Elephas maximus indicus: one gene and its partner. The main gene of each other region encodes a partner of the protein of the gene in region 2 in a complex. Links are inferred from orthologs where the notes say so. Each region holds a gene or a part of one and is shown on either strand. Other genes may lie near its edges.

Region 1 (7,246 bases), on a different chromosome or scaffold from region 2:
GTAAGGGCTGTTTTCAGTGTGACTTTGTCCACAATAAAGTGGTCCCAGGGAGGGGGGTAGTACAAATATGTCTCACTTGATAAACATCTTATATATAAAACTTCAATCATATAAAACAGAATCTTTGTGTAAAGTGACAAAAGATGCTCCAAAAGAGCCGAATTTTCTGGAGCAGGGGCAGTCCTAGGAAGAGGTAGCAGGGTGTTATGCGTAATTTTGTTCTGTGGTTACGCAGTTGTTTCTTTCTTTTTTTCATTTTTTAGGCTTGAGGCATAGGTAGACTGTGCTTTGTGCAGATAAGATATGGCTGTGCTTCCCTAGAATGTACACACACACACACCCATTTAGTTACTATGTGTGATAAAACCCATTGCCATCGAGTCATTCTGACTCAAAGCGACTCTATAGGACAGAGTAGAACTGCTCCACAGGGTTTCCAAGGAGCACCTGTGGGATTTGAACTGCTGACTTCTTGGTTAGCAGCCATAGCTCTTAACCACTACGGCACCAGGGTTTCCCTATGTGTGATACATCCTGATATTTTCTATTCTATCATTTTTTAAAGATTTATTTTATTTTAGTGAAAATATACACAGCAAAGTCTACACCATTTCAACAAATTCTACATGCACAATTCAATGATATCGTCTACCATCTTCAAGTTGTATAACTGTTCTCACTCTCCTTTTCCAAATTATTCCACCACCATTAACATAAACTCAAGGCCCGCTAACCTTTCGAGATGCTGTTGTCGATTTGATCCCGTAGAGATAAATCTTTGAAAGAACACAATGCGCAACGCAGACATGCTTTACTAATTAAGCTAAACTTGTTTGATTCAAAGCAGACTTCAGGGGGAAGTATTGGTTTGAGGTCTGAGGTTTAGATTATCTCAGGGCAATAGTTTTGGGTGTTGGTTCAGCTTCAGTGGCACCAGAAGGTCTAGACTCCACTGTATTCCATCATATTTTGTTTAAACGAGTATTTCGCTTTCAATGGACTAATGGAGTATCACTTGCATTTTGAAAAATGCCTTAGACGACACTTTCCCAAGTAGCCTTCCCCTGACACACCAGGCTGGATCAGGATTCTTCTGTTCAAGGGCTCACAGAACCCTCCTCAGAATCTGTAATGTTTATGTCCGTTTCCCCCACCCCACGAAAGCAGGAAACGTGACAGCAATGCTCACGACTGTATCCTGTGTCTGCACTGTGCTCGGTACATAAGTGTTTGTGGAGTGAACGAATGAACAAATAAATGAAACTCACACTGAATGTGTTATTCCTCCCAGCAGTGCTTACTTTTGGAACTTCATGGAATTCAATTTCTTGGACAGAGAAAATCTGATGGGAGAGTGAGGTACAGAAACCCTACCCTGATGTATTTAAGAGAGAATCTGATTTTATATGTGACCTCTATACAACTACTTTATAAAAACCTTGGAGTCATTCCTTACTCTTCTCCCTCTCACTCTTCATCCATCATCAAAGCCTGTCGGTTTTACATTTAAAATACATTCAGAATTCCAATACCTGCCATCCCTGTCTACACACCATCATCTTCCAAAAGGATCATGACAACAGCCTCCTAACTGATCTCCTTGCTGGTGCCCTTGCCTCCCTTAAGGCAGATAGTCACTCCTCTGTACGGAAAGCCGCAGTGATTAGGAGCTCCGCGCCTCACTGAAAGGTTAGGGGTTTGAATCCATCAGCAGCTCTGCCAGAAAAGGATGTGGCAGTGTGCTTCCATAAACATTACAGCCTTGGAAACCCTATGAGACAGTTCTACTCTGTCTTACAGAGTCGCTATGAGTGGGAATCGACTCCATGGCAGCCGATTTTGTTTTCTGTATGGAAACCTCAAATGGCTTCCCATCTCAGAGTAAAAGCCTCCTTTGCACTGGCCGCCTTGCTTTTTTTTTTTTCCTCCATATATGTTAACACCTCCTAATTTGTCATATGGAAACCCTGGTGGCGCAGTGGTTATAGTTACAGCCGCTAACCGAAACGTTGGCAGTTGGAATCCACCACCTTGGAAGCCCTATGGGGGCAGCTCTACTCTGTCCCGTAGGATCGCTATGCATCGAAATCGACTCGACGGCAACGGGTTTGGTTTCAACGGGTAATGTGCCATATATTTTACTTGCTTTATTGTCTGGCTCCTCCTACTAGGATGCAAGCTCCATGAAGGCAGTGATTTCTGCTTTCGTTTGTTTACAAAAGTATTTTCAGGGTCTAAAACAATGCTTGGCATATTGCAGTCATTCAATGAAATATTTGCTGAATAAATGAAAGAATCCACAGGGCAATCCAAATAAACTCTCAATAATTAGGAAATGTAAATCTCTGACGTCCACTAACCCATCTCTTTCTAGTCTACCAGTGTCTACTGAGGGCCTTTTACGGGTGTACACGGTGCAGGGCACGCTCAGTTTGTCTGACAGCTGAAGGGGTCTTCCTAAAAAGGTGATAGGTCTTCTCAGGGCAGTCCTCCTTACCCTCGGGGTCAAAGCGAAGGACGGAGGAAAGAATTTAAGTCATTTCTTGAAAGGTGTAAAGGACTAGGGAGAAGACAGGAGGAATTACAAACAGGGAAAGAAAGGAACGACCTCTCCTGCCTTTGCGCTCCCGGCCTTTCTCTTCCAGGCGAGGGTAGGATCCGAAAGTGAGTCTCCGTGCGCTTACTCCTGTGTGGTGGAAAGGAAAGATGCTCCCACGTTCGCGAACCAATTCTGCGGTGTCCAAGGCGGGGAGAAGTCCTTCAGTCCGGCTTCTACTTTTCCACCTACAGCACCCTAGGAAGCCGGTACCAAGCTAGGGTGTTTCTATGGCAACGCACAGCTTGGGGGACCTTTTCTTCTCCCCCATTAGCTGGCTACCACTTTGCCTCCCTCTGCTCCCAAATAACGCATGCTGCAGCCTATAAAGATGAAAGAACTTTGGCAAAGAATTGTAAAAGTGCTCTTGGATGTAGGCTGCGTCAGTCCGAAGACGATTCCTGACGCTTGTTTTTCTGGCGGACGCGGAAGATGCCTACTTGGGGGCAGGGAAGAGAGGTGTTTATCCCACAAGGCAACGCGGCGGGTCTTGGTTTTCCTTTTTCCGCCATCTTGGAGCCTGTAGAGGTGAGGGAAGCTTCAGCTGCTGAAGTTTGGGAGCAAAATAGCTGGGGTGGGCTCATCCATATGCTTCGCGAGGCACCGGTGCAGCTTGGGGACCCTGGTAGTCAGTGGATTTTAAGGATTCCAGCGAGAGGGAGGGCAGGATGGCAGAGATGCGGGGTTGATGGTGCTGGTTCCCTGACGTCCGGGGAACGGGTCCTGTAATAGGAGTAGATTCCGGGCCAGAGCGGAGTGAAATAGGTGCACTTCGTTTGGCTACAGGTGCCGATTTAAGGCAGTGGGTCCTTTAGGTTGGGTTCAAGTCCGTTTTCTGTTCGGATACGGTCCTCGATAAGTCTTTATTTTTCCTGAGTTTTTGTCTGTTGGTCATGACATGATTTTTCCCAGGGCTTCCTGTTGAAATTTCTAGGAGTTCGTCAAGTATATATTTTTGCCACCTTACTTTTTCTTTATAGGAGCTAACCAAAAGGTTGGCGGTTGGAACCCACCGGCCCCTGCACGGGAGTAAGATGTGGCAATTAGTTTCTGTAAAGATTACAGCCTTGGAAATCCTATGGGACAGTTCTGTCCTGTATGAGTCGGAATCGACTTGACGGCAGTGGGTGTGTTTTTTTTTTTATTTCGTGAAGGGTATATTTTTGCCACTTCGGATTTTCTTTGGCCTCTGCATTTTTTCCCTTTACTTTGGAGTTTCCTTACATATCAGAGGCTTTCTGTGAGGCTTGGTTGCCTTAACAGACCTTTCATGTAAATGTTATGGCATAATTAATGTTTTCTTTTACTATTATATGAAATGTCAATCAAAAACGAATTTGTCTAATGTGCTTGAGAAACGAGGGGGCACTTGGTGGGAAAGTTGTGTTGCCAGGTTGTGAACTGAGTCTTTTTTGTTTAAGGCCTGCTGGGAACAGGACTTCGAAACCGGCAAATATGTCTGGAAGGTATGAGCTTTAAATATAATTGCTTCGTATATGTAGTCTTTTGTTGAACATGAACCTAAATGTGAGTTTAAAAAGACCAGAAAAATTAGATATTTGCTGTAGGTAACTTGGGTTGGGGGCCAAATTATACCGGTGGTTTGTTGAGGTTTGACAACATCTTTTAAGAGTTTACCGTTAATGTTACATATTTTGTGTATCTTAGGTTGTGGTCCAAGGCCATTTTTGCTGGCTATAAACGGGGTCTCCGGAACCAGAGGGAGCACACAGCTCTTCTGAAAATTGAAGGTGTTTATGCCCGAGACGAAACCGAATTCTATTTAGGCAAGAGATGTGCCTATGTGTACAAAGCAAAGAAGTAAGTTTATAATATTGCTGTGCTTTTCAATTTTTAATTAAGATCTGCCTCATTTTTCTGTTGAAAGAAAAATAAAACATAGATGTTGATAAAACAATTGATTCTACTGTGGCTTCTTTTGAAGTCTTTAAGGAATTCATGGGATGTTGTAGAAGGACGTTATTTTTGTGGATGGTCTTGGATTTCAGTTACTTCACCATGTAGAGAAATTACAGCTGTTCTTGTTTCAAGGAAGAAGCTAATTCCTGATAGTGTGATGCTCATATGGGTTTATAGAGCGCTTTCCATGTACCTTAATTCATTTAGTTGATTTCCTAAAATTATATGTTTTATACATGTTGAAAGATGTTACATGTCCAGAGCAGTGGTTCTTAATCCTGGATTCTTAATCCACCTCAGGCCAGTTAAGATCTCTGGGGACATACTTCATCCTGGTCCACTGCCACAGCTAGAGTGATCCTTTAAAATTATCAGACAGATCACATGTACATTGCTCAGACTCATCTCATTCAGCAAAAGCCAGAGTCCTTAAGGGGTGTCTAAGACCCTTTGCAATCAGGCCCCGTATTTCCTTTCTGATCCTAGGTAGGATTCAACTCCTCTCCCTCCAATCTCTTTTCTGTTTTCCGGCAAATCAAGCAAACTCTCTTCTCAGATTTTTAACCTGTCACTGTGAATCAGAATTGACTCAACAGCAACAGGTTTTTTTTATTTTGGGGGTTTGGTTGCCTCTGGAATGGTCTTTACCAGATACGTGTATGGCTTGTTCCCTCACCAGGTCCTTTATTCCATCGTCACCTCAGTGAAACCTTCTGTGACTACTTGAAATTGGAAGCAGTTCTTCCCTCTCACTACATGGAAACATCCAGTTGTTAGCCCCCTTTGTTTTTTTTTTCTCCTATATTGCAGCTATTATCATCTCATGTTCCACATATTTTACTTGTTTATTATTGTGTTAAGCCTGTAAAAAGGGCTTTTGTAAACTGTAGCATGCCTTGCCTTTACAAAAGCCCCTGGTGTACAGTAAAAAAACAAAACCAAACTCTTTGCTGTCGAGTTGATTCCGACTGATAACGACCCTAATAGGATGGAGGAGTAGAACTGCTCCACAGCGTTTCAAGGAGTACCTGGTGAATTCAAACTGTTGGTATTTCGGTTACCAGTTGAACTCTTAACCACTGCGCCACCAAAGAGGGAACAGTGTGTAGCCGATAAACGTGTAAACTTTACTGGTATTCTGAGTTCTCGTGCACTTTCCACTTCTCTTTAAATCAGCAACACAGTGACTCCTGGCGGCAAACCTAACAAAACCAGAGTAATCTGGGGAAAGGTAACTCGGGCCCATGGAAACAGTGGCATGGTTCGTGCCAAATTCCGAAGCAACCTTCCTGCTAAGGCCATTGGACACAGGATCCGTGTGGTAAGTAAAATTATTACCAAACTAGCCCTCTATGTAGTCAAACTGTGTTCAAGGGGTTGGGATTTGATCTCTAAGGTCCATTCTGGTACTGTGATCCTGCTTAGTACTGTGTTACCTGTAGATTAGGCTGCCAAACTAGTGGCCACAGTTTAAGTGGTAACTATTACAGAACATCTGACTGTTAAACCAAAAAAGGTGAAGGCAGAGTGTTCAAATGGATTGTGCTTAGATTGCAGAGTTTAGTAAAGCTGCCTGGGGAAAAAATAGCATTTAATAATTTTCCTCAAAGATGTTTATTGGCCACTGAAGTAGGTGTTAGAAAATAAATTCACATCTTTTTTCTGGGATAATTCTTAATATTTTCCCATCCCTTCATCCTCAATATCAGTGTTATTAGAAGAATAGCCTTATTTAATAGATGAAGAAAGTTGGTATTTTTCCTAGGCCCAAGACTCTGGGCCAAGTAAGTTATGAGAAAATGGGAAGGGATTTGTCCACATTGTGGTACTAGTTTTTTTATAACATTTGTGAATTTACATGTAGTCACCTAATGCTCTTGTGTTCTTTTCCCCCCAGATGCTGTACCCCTCAAGGATTTAAACTTACTAAGAAGTAAATAAATAAAATGGTGGCTTTGTTACTTGTTCTCTTATATTTTTGTTAAATGGTTTAAACGCTTTCCTCTAAATTAAATTGCTATATGCTTAAAATGGACATTGAAATAAAGGACTATTGGAGTCGACTAATTTCACAGGGAAATTGTAGTGCTATATGTCAGTGGAATTACAGAAACTTAGAAGACAACTCCTCTGGGGGGTCTTAATGAGAAGAGGATAGGGTGGGAGTACCTGAATACAAAGCCTGACACAGATGGGAGATATGGAGGCTTTGGTTGGATAGTGGAAAAGAGTACCTTGAAAGTTTTTTACGGTGATGGAGCATCTGAACTCAGCCTTTGAATAACTTTTTGAAGAATGGAAAAACACTGTATTCCAGGAAGCACATAAACTTGGGGGTGGAGGTTTGGAGTGGCAGTTGTAGTCAAGTGGATTCCGATCCATGGGACCCTGTGTATGTCAGAGTAGGATTGTGTTCCATAGAATTTTCGGTGGCTGATCTTCTTGGAAGTAGACTTAACCGCCAGGCCTTTCTTCCACTCCCCAGGGGCTCCCTGGTTTACTATATGTACTGGTAACTGTTCAGTTCATTAGGTTGAGTCAGTTAATGAAGCTTAAATTTATTTTCATGACCTCTTAAAAGCACTTGTAGTAAGCGCCTGTTTACTGTAGGCTGCTTGGTGAAATTGTGACTTTTGGGAATTGGGAGGGATATGGAGATAATATTGAAAGGTTTTGGCAGTTGTTTCAGATAGGCTGAGATGAGATATCCTTGGGTTTTGTGACAGCAAA
Region 2 (7,380 bases):
ACAGCCAAGAAACTCCTATGACTCTGTCACACAGAATCGCTATCAGTTGAAATGGACTCAATGGCACCCAACAACAACAACGAGGGGCCTTCAGAGTCAGCCTCCTCAGAAGGAAAAGTCTAAGGGGAGTTCTGAAGGTGGAGGAGGAGTCAGCAGGCAAAGAAGTTGGGAGGGCCTGAGAGGCAGGGACAGGCATTGAGAGCAGAGTGAAGAGCGTGGGTGAAGTCCAGGAGGTATGAAAAACAGAAGGTGTTCAGGGAATTACAAGGTATACAGTTTGGGTAAAGCATCAAGCCAAGGGGTGAGGCCGGCAGGACCTGGAACCTGTAGGGTCCTGTGGGCCATGAGAGAGGTCCTGAACTTGAACCTGAGTGCATTACAAACTGGCTGCTGGGCAGGAATGGAAGCTGGAAGATCAGGCGAAGAGCCAAGGGCTCATGGTGGAACAGAGGAGGTGGGGTGGAAAGGCCTGGGTGCCCCATGAGAGTTGTGGCCCCTTGTGCCTTTCACTGGCCCTTCTTGGCCCAGGTTCTTCCGGCAGAGGTTCAAGTCAGAAGATACCCCCAAGATCCATGTGGCCCTGAGTGTCAGCCTGTTCCTCCTGAATTTAGCTTTCCTCATCACTGTGGTGAATGGCTCGCAGGGCTCCAATGCTGCCTGCTGGGCTAGGGGAGCTGTCTTCCACTACTTTCTGCTCTGTACCTTCACCTGGATGGGCCTGGAAGCCTTCCACCTCTATCTGCTTGTCATCAAGGTCTTCAACACCTACTTCGGGCACTACTTCCTGAAGCTGAGCCTGGTGGGCTGGGGTAGGTGCTATCTGGATTGTCAGAGGAGATGGATGGGGTGGACATTCCCTCCAGCCAGGCCCTGGGGGGCCGGCTAGGGGCATTTCCCTGGGGAGAGAGGAGCTGTCAGACAGGCTCAGGGTTCAAGGAATGGGCAGCTGGAGGGGTTCTGGAGGAGGGCATGCCCAGGGAGGCTGCAATGCCTTAACTCCTCCCCTTGCTCCCAGGCCTCCCTGCCCTGGTGGTCATTGGCACCGGGAGTACCAACAGCTATGGCCGCTACACAATCCAGGACAAGGAAAACCGTACCATGCTGGAGCTGTGAGTGGCGGCTGGGGGAGCAGGGCTGATACCAGGTTCCAGGCTTCACATATCGGAGCCGGAGGGAGGGGGAATGGAGGGAGTCCTAGGACGAGAGATTCAGTGTGATGAGGCCAGAAAAATCTTCAGACCCAGCTAGCTCATGGCATGCAGGGGTAAATTGAGGCCTGGAGAGAGGAAGGAAAATGAGAGAGGGGAGCTGAAAAGGGGGAAAGAGAACTGAGCCAGGAGGCAGAATACTGGGCTCTAGCCTGGGCTGCCACTAGCCCATACAGCGCCTTTGGGCAAATTGAAAAATGTGCCCCACCAGACGCTTAACCTGGTAAGTGGAGGACATGCTGGATTTCAGCTCCCAACTGCCCCCTCCACCCATTGTACAGTGCACAACCTGCCCAACCACTTGTAGCAGCCCTGGTCCTAGTCCAGGCTGTACTCTTGACGTATTGTGTGACCTTGGCCAAGCCCCTCAGGGCAAGCTTCAGTTTCCTCATCTGTACCATGGGGATGATCAACATGCTCTTTTAGAGCCTTTTGTCCTTGCAGTACAAAGTGGAGCTGAGCTGAGCCTTCAGACTCCTGCCCTGGCATTCTCATGGTGCCCACCCCTGAGCCCACAGCCAGCACAGAGCTGGAAAGGGCCAGCAGGGCCTTGGGCCTGGCCCCAGAGTATCACATCAGGGGCCAAAGGGGCTGGATGGGAACTGTGGTGGAATGGCAACCATGTACCTACTCACTGAGTCTTCAGGAGGCCGTTTGGAGCTGCCAGATGTAGGGTTTTACAAGAGAAGCTGACATCTGGATATTTATGCCAAACCTGTTTTTTAGAGGATAGCTATTAATTCAATTTTTTTTTTTTTTTACAATATATGTGGAGCATATGAAACATGCCTTTGGGGCCAAATTGGCCCTTTTGCACACACGGTCTAAAGAGGCCCTTGAGCACCTGCCCCAGGAGGAAAGCGGGGTAGGTGGGTGGAGATAGGGGAAGACATTTTGGTCTTCAAAGGTCAGTCAGGGGAGACTTCCTGGGGGCTTGCTGGGCAACGCTCTCCTCTCCTTGTCCCAACGGCCATCCTCTTCCTCCAGGTGCTGGTTTCGTGAGACGACTGCCCTGTATGTCACCGTCCATGGCTACTTTCTTATCACTTTCCTCTTTAGTGCCATGGTCCTCGGCCTGGTGGCCTGGAAGATCTTCACTCTGTCAAGTATCACAGCGGGCAAGGAACAGGGGCTGAACTGGAAGGGGGTTCTCACTGTGCTGGGCCTCTCTAGCCTGATGGGCATGACGTGGGGGCTGGCTATCCTCACACCCCTGGGCCTGTTCACCATTTATATCTTCGCAGTGCTCAACTCCCTGCAAGGTGAGGCACCTGTACACACACACACACACACACACACGAATGCACGCGCGCGCGCACATACACACACAGGAGCTTTCTGTGCTGGATTCTAGTGTAATTCCTTAGCACTATCTTCCAAATCCCTGCTGTCTCTCAGTTTATCCCATCTAGTTATCTTGGAGCCCTGGTGGAGCAGTGGTTAAGAGCTCAGCTGCTAACCAAAAGGTCAGCAGTTCAAATCTACCAGCGACTCCTTCGAAACCCTATGGGGCAGTTCTACTCTGTCCTATAGTGTCCCTATGAGTTGGCATCAACTCGACAGCAACAGGTTTTTTTGTTTTTAGAGTTATCTTGACTGTTAAGCTTTTTTTTTTTATTTCAGAGATCCTATATTTTTACTCTTTTTTTTATTGTGATTTAAGTGAAAGTTCACAATTCAAATCAGTTTCTCGTACAAAAACTTATACACACATCGTTATGTGACCCTAGTCACTCTCCCTACAATGTGACAGCACACTTCTTCACTCCAGCCTGTATTCCCCGTTTCTACTCAACCAGCTCCTGTCCCCTTCTGCCTTCTCATCTTGCCTCTGGACAGGAGCTGCCCATTTAGTCTCATGTGTCTACTTGAGCTAAGAAGCACACCCCTCACCAGTATCATTTCATGTCTTGTAGTCCAGCCTAATTTTTGTCTGAAGAGGTGGCTTCGGGAATGGTTTTAATTCTGGGCTAACAGAGAGTCTGGGGGCCATGTCTTCTGGGGTCCCTCCAGTCTCAGTCAGACCATCGAGTCTGGTCTTTTTACTAGAATTTGAGGTCTGTATTCCACTTTTCTCCTGTTCCATCAGGGACTCTCCGTCGTGTTCCCTGTCAGGGAGGTCCTTGGTGGTAGCCGAGCACCATCTAGTTCTGGTCAGAGACCCTATTTTTAATTTCCAAAATTTCTATTTGGTTCTTTTCTAGAAATAGGTTTCATTTTTCCCTGATTTTTTCCCTAATGTCTTTTAAGCAGTTTTTAAATAGCCCCCCTCCCTGCATGTCCCCACCCACAAGCTCACTGCTACCCCTTTTCACCCCCAGGCATCTTCATCTTTGGCTGGTTCGCTGTCCTCTACTTCCCTAGTCAGAGTGCCTCCTCATCTGCAACTACCCAAGCCGACCAGACCCACTCGGTGTCTCATGGATAAAGAGGCTGCCAAGTGGCTAGGCTGGGAGCTGAGCCCTGAGCTCTGGACTCAACTCTGACTTACTGGGTAACCTTGGGTCAGTCCCTGCTTCTCTCTGGGCCACAGTCTCCTTCTCTGCACACTGTGGCTGAGGAGGGGAGATGGAGACCAGGTTGGACCACGTGGCCTCAAAGGTCCCATCCAGACGCATCTGTGGTTCTGAGAGTTCATGAATCCAGGAATGCAGAAGGTTAACGCGCTCATAATCCTGGGCCCCCTCCCAGCATACAGTGATGCCTCCCCTCCCTCTCCTGCTCACCTTGGTAGCAAAGCAGCCATTCTTTGCCCTTACCCACCCTCTGGTCTCAGGAACAGCCTAAGCTTAAATAGGAGAGTCTCTTGTAGGCACAGACCCTTGAAGGAGCCCCAGCCTCTCCCCTTACCCCTGTCACTTCCCTCTCAGACTCCAACTTCTGGCTGCTTGTACCTGTGAGGGGAGGTTTCCAGGAGGTCATTGTCCCCTCAGGCATTGGAGGAGTTGTTGGCTGAACTTTTTAGGTGGGGGGTTGATCCTCCTACCCAGCACAGCCCTGGTTTCTGCAGTCCCACCTGGGTCCATCCTCCCTGAAGAGCCTCTACCATTCAGGGGCTGCCAGCCTTCAAGATGTCTGGGGACATGGCTTCAGAGAACGTCACAGACTCAGTGGGTATGACACCTCAAGCAAGTCTGAGTCTCCACTCTGACTGCCAGGCGGGCAGCTGGACCTCGGATCTGCAGTCTTTTGGGAGTGGCCAGACTGTCACATGCATACTGCACACCTGAGGGGTGAGCATTTTTGCTCCTGTCTGTTCAGTGTGTGGGTCAGGGGGCTGAGGGTGGGGGAGCAGGCTTGGCATTTCCACCAGAATTGGAACTCCAGTGGAGCAGGAACCATGACTGCCTCCTCACTGTTTCCGCCCAGCCTGAGCTCAGGGCCTGGTGCAGTTCAGGCCCAGAATAAATATTTGTCAGTTGAACGAATCCATGTGCAGGTTTGGCTCCAACCTGACAGGGCCCTGAGCCAGGAAGTGTTTCTCAGGCCAGATCAATTTGGGTTTGTTGTTTTTCCTCGTGGCTGTCCCTCCATGTCTCCATTGCATTTTGGTTTCTCTGGTAGGAAACAAAAAGAGATAGAGATCGTAGAGGTAGAGGTAGAGAGAGAGAGAGAGATAGAAAGAGAGAGAGATAGAAAGAGAGAGAGAGAGAATTAGCAGACAGGCTAACACTGAGAGAGAACAGAGACAGAGAGAGGAGGCAGCCCCCTGGCCTGCCCCAATCCGAGGGTGGCGAGCATTGATGTCAATTCCCTCCTCAGGTCCCACCTCACAAGTTCCCGACCCCATTAGCCTTAACTCTAGCCTTAACTTACTAAGTGCCGTGGGAAATCTCACCCTCCCACACAACCTCTAACTTTTCCAATGTGCTTTGGACACTGCCAAGTGCCTTACACAGGAGAGAAGTTATTATTACTAGACCCTCCCTCACAGCCCCAAAGCTGTGTGAGCTACCAGCTGCCTCCCCCTCCCAGGTGCTGGTGCTGATGTCTGACAGGAATGGAGGTGGTGCTCCCAGAAGCCCTTGCTTCCCCCTCCTCCCACCCTGCAAACAGACAGGAAGGCTTTATGCAATTCACTGTGTTCCTGGAAGGGAAATCCTGAGGTGTGCACACTGCATCTGTTGAGCCTCATTATCAGTTTTTGTGGACAAACTTGCTAGGTTTCAGACTTATCTTCATAGACATCTGTTTTTCAAGGGGAGGGCTAGGTGCCCTGACATCAAAGTCTCAGAGTTAGCAACCTGTGCTCAAAAGGAACAGCTGTTCCAGGGTCAGACAGGCCTGAGTTCAAATCTTGGTTCTGCTACTTAGGGTTTGTTACCCTGAGAATGTCACCTCACCTCCCCAAGCCTCAGTTTTCCCCTCTGTAAAATGGGGATCATAGAACGTCCTCATCTTGTCCAGAGAGCATTGAGACGACAACAGTAAAGTGCCTGACAGTAGGAGTAGGCTGACTCTCCAAGGCCTCCTTGGTTAAAGAAAAACCAAGCAGAACCTTCATGAAAAGCAAATCATGACCCTCCGCAGCCTAGATGTAAAATAAGAGCGTGAGGTTAAAGGTCCCTTCCAGATTTCCTCTATAACTCTGCCAACAGACCAGCTCTGCACTGGGACAAGGAACTGGAGCCCCAGAGAGGCCCAGCAACCTGCCCAGAGCCACTCGGCAAGTTGGGCTGAAGCTAGGGCTAGGTGCCCTAGGGAGCCCTGATGGTGCAATGGTTAAGCACTCAGCTGCTAACCAAAAGGTGAGTGGTTCAAACTTACCAGCCACTCTACAGGAGAAAAGACCTGGCAGTTTGCTTCCGTAAAGATTACAGCCTTGGAAACCCTATAAGGTAGTTCCTCTCTGCCCTACAGGGTCACTATGAGTCAGAATCAACACGATGGCACACAACAACAACAACAGGCGCTTCCCGAGCTGCTGACACCTCCTCCCAGGGCATTCCCTGGATTCAAGAATTATCGTCTTGTCCCTGACCTCCTAGTCTCAAGGGAAACCCTGGCCTGTGGCTTTCTCAGACATGCTCACCAGTATGTGGGGCTAACCAAATCGCAGGCCGGAATGGGCTCATTTCCTGGTACAGATGGGGAGATGTAGCCAACTTTGGGGTGTGCTCCTGTTCTAGCTGGTTCTCCACCCTAGGTCCAGGCAGGGGCTGAGGGGCTAGGGTCCCTTATCACCTGGGGTCTCTACAAACTGTGGCTCTGAGGGTCAAGCTGGACACTGTGCTGAGGCCAAGAGGAGTTGTGGCAAAAACATATCCCAAGGCCTAGAGTAGATGGACAGGGTTCCCAACCATTGAAGGGTAACAAACACAGCCCAGGAGGTGGGATGGCACTGAGGGTGAGAGTGCAGACCCTGAGGTCTGCCTGCCTGGTCCAAATTCTGCTTCTGCAACTTGCCTGGGGCAAATTCCTCACCTTCCTCAGCCTGTAAAGTAGGAGTACCTGGATGGTGCAAATGGTTAACTAGCAGCTGCTAGCCAAAAGATTGGAAGTTCAAGTCCAACCAGAGGTGCCTCAAAAGAAAGGCCTGGCAGTCTAATTCTGAAAAACCAGCCACTGAAAACCCTATAGTCTGACACACACAGGGTCACCGTGATTTAGAACCAACTTGATGGCAATAGTTTTTTGTTTTAAAGTAGGGATAACAGTAGCTGCCCAAAGGGTTGATGAAGGATTAAATTAGAGACCAGTGGGCATGTGTGTGGCTAAGCCAGGCTTTGTCCTGATCATCACCTTATAAGGTCTTAGGGTCCCGTGGTGCTCCAGGTGCCACAGGGAGTGTCCTCTTCACCTCGGCACCCTGCCTGTTCTCTCTGTTCTGCCCAAGTTTCTTCATTTCTAGTATTTTTTCATTATAATATAAAATATACAAGGAAATAAGATGTATTTACTCTGTGCTCTCAGATAGACAACTTAATATTAAAATATAAACCCCCCTCACAGAGAATTTATTAATTCAATGAAATTACAATAAAGATTCCAGTTGATTTTATTTTATAGACTCTCAAAAAATTTATTCTGTGGTTTATATGGAGGCATGTAGTCCTCAAAGAGCTAAGTCAACCTTAATGAAAGAAGGGCTTAGAAGGAAGACTTGCCTCCAGATATGAAGACATTACAAGGCCACGGTGGCAATCTGTGCAGGAATAGGCAAGACCACTAG

The links. The genes of interacting proteins can lie anywhere in the genome.
Region 1: DRC7 (region 2) and IQCG share a complex: the UniProt entries of both Homo sapiens proteins name them as parts of the nexin-dynein regulatory complex. The link is inferred for Elephas maximus indicus from reciprocal best matches to the Homo sapiens genes DRC7 and DRC9.

The regions. Positions count from the first base shown.
Region 1 is NC_064819.1:17,037,473-17,044,718, reverse strand, and holds the start of IQCG (dynein regulatory complex protein 9), read right to left. Parts: upstream 3,008-7,246; 5' UTR 2,609-3,007; intron 1-2,608. Other genes in the region: RPL35A (60S ribosomal protein L35a), read left to right, coding at 4,052-4,062, 4,265-4,417, 5,693-5,837, 6,414-6,437. UniProt on the Homo sapiens protein: Component of the nexin-dynein regulatory complex (N-DRC), a key regulator of ciliary/flagellar motility which maintains the alignment and integrity of the distal axoneme and regulates microtubule sliding in motile axonemes.
Region 2 is NC_064839.1:24,569,676-24,577,055, forward strand, and holds the start of DRC7 (dynein regulatory complex subunit 7), read left to right. Parts: upstream 1-4,367; 5' UTR 4,368-4,441; exon of another isoform or gene 4,442-4,636; intron 4,637-7,380. Other genes in the region: ADGRG3 (adhesion G protein-coupled receptor G3), read left to right, coding at 529-809, 1,016-1,109, 2,196-2,470, 3,530-3,636. UniProt on the Homo sapiens protein: Component of the nexin-dynein regulatory complex (N-DRC) a key regulator of ciliary/flagellar motility which maintains the alignment and integrity of the distal axoneme and regulates microtubule sliding in motile axonemes.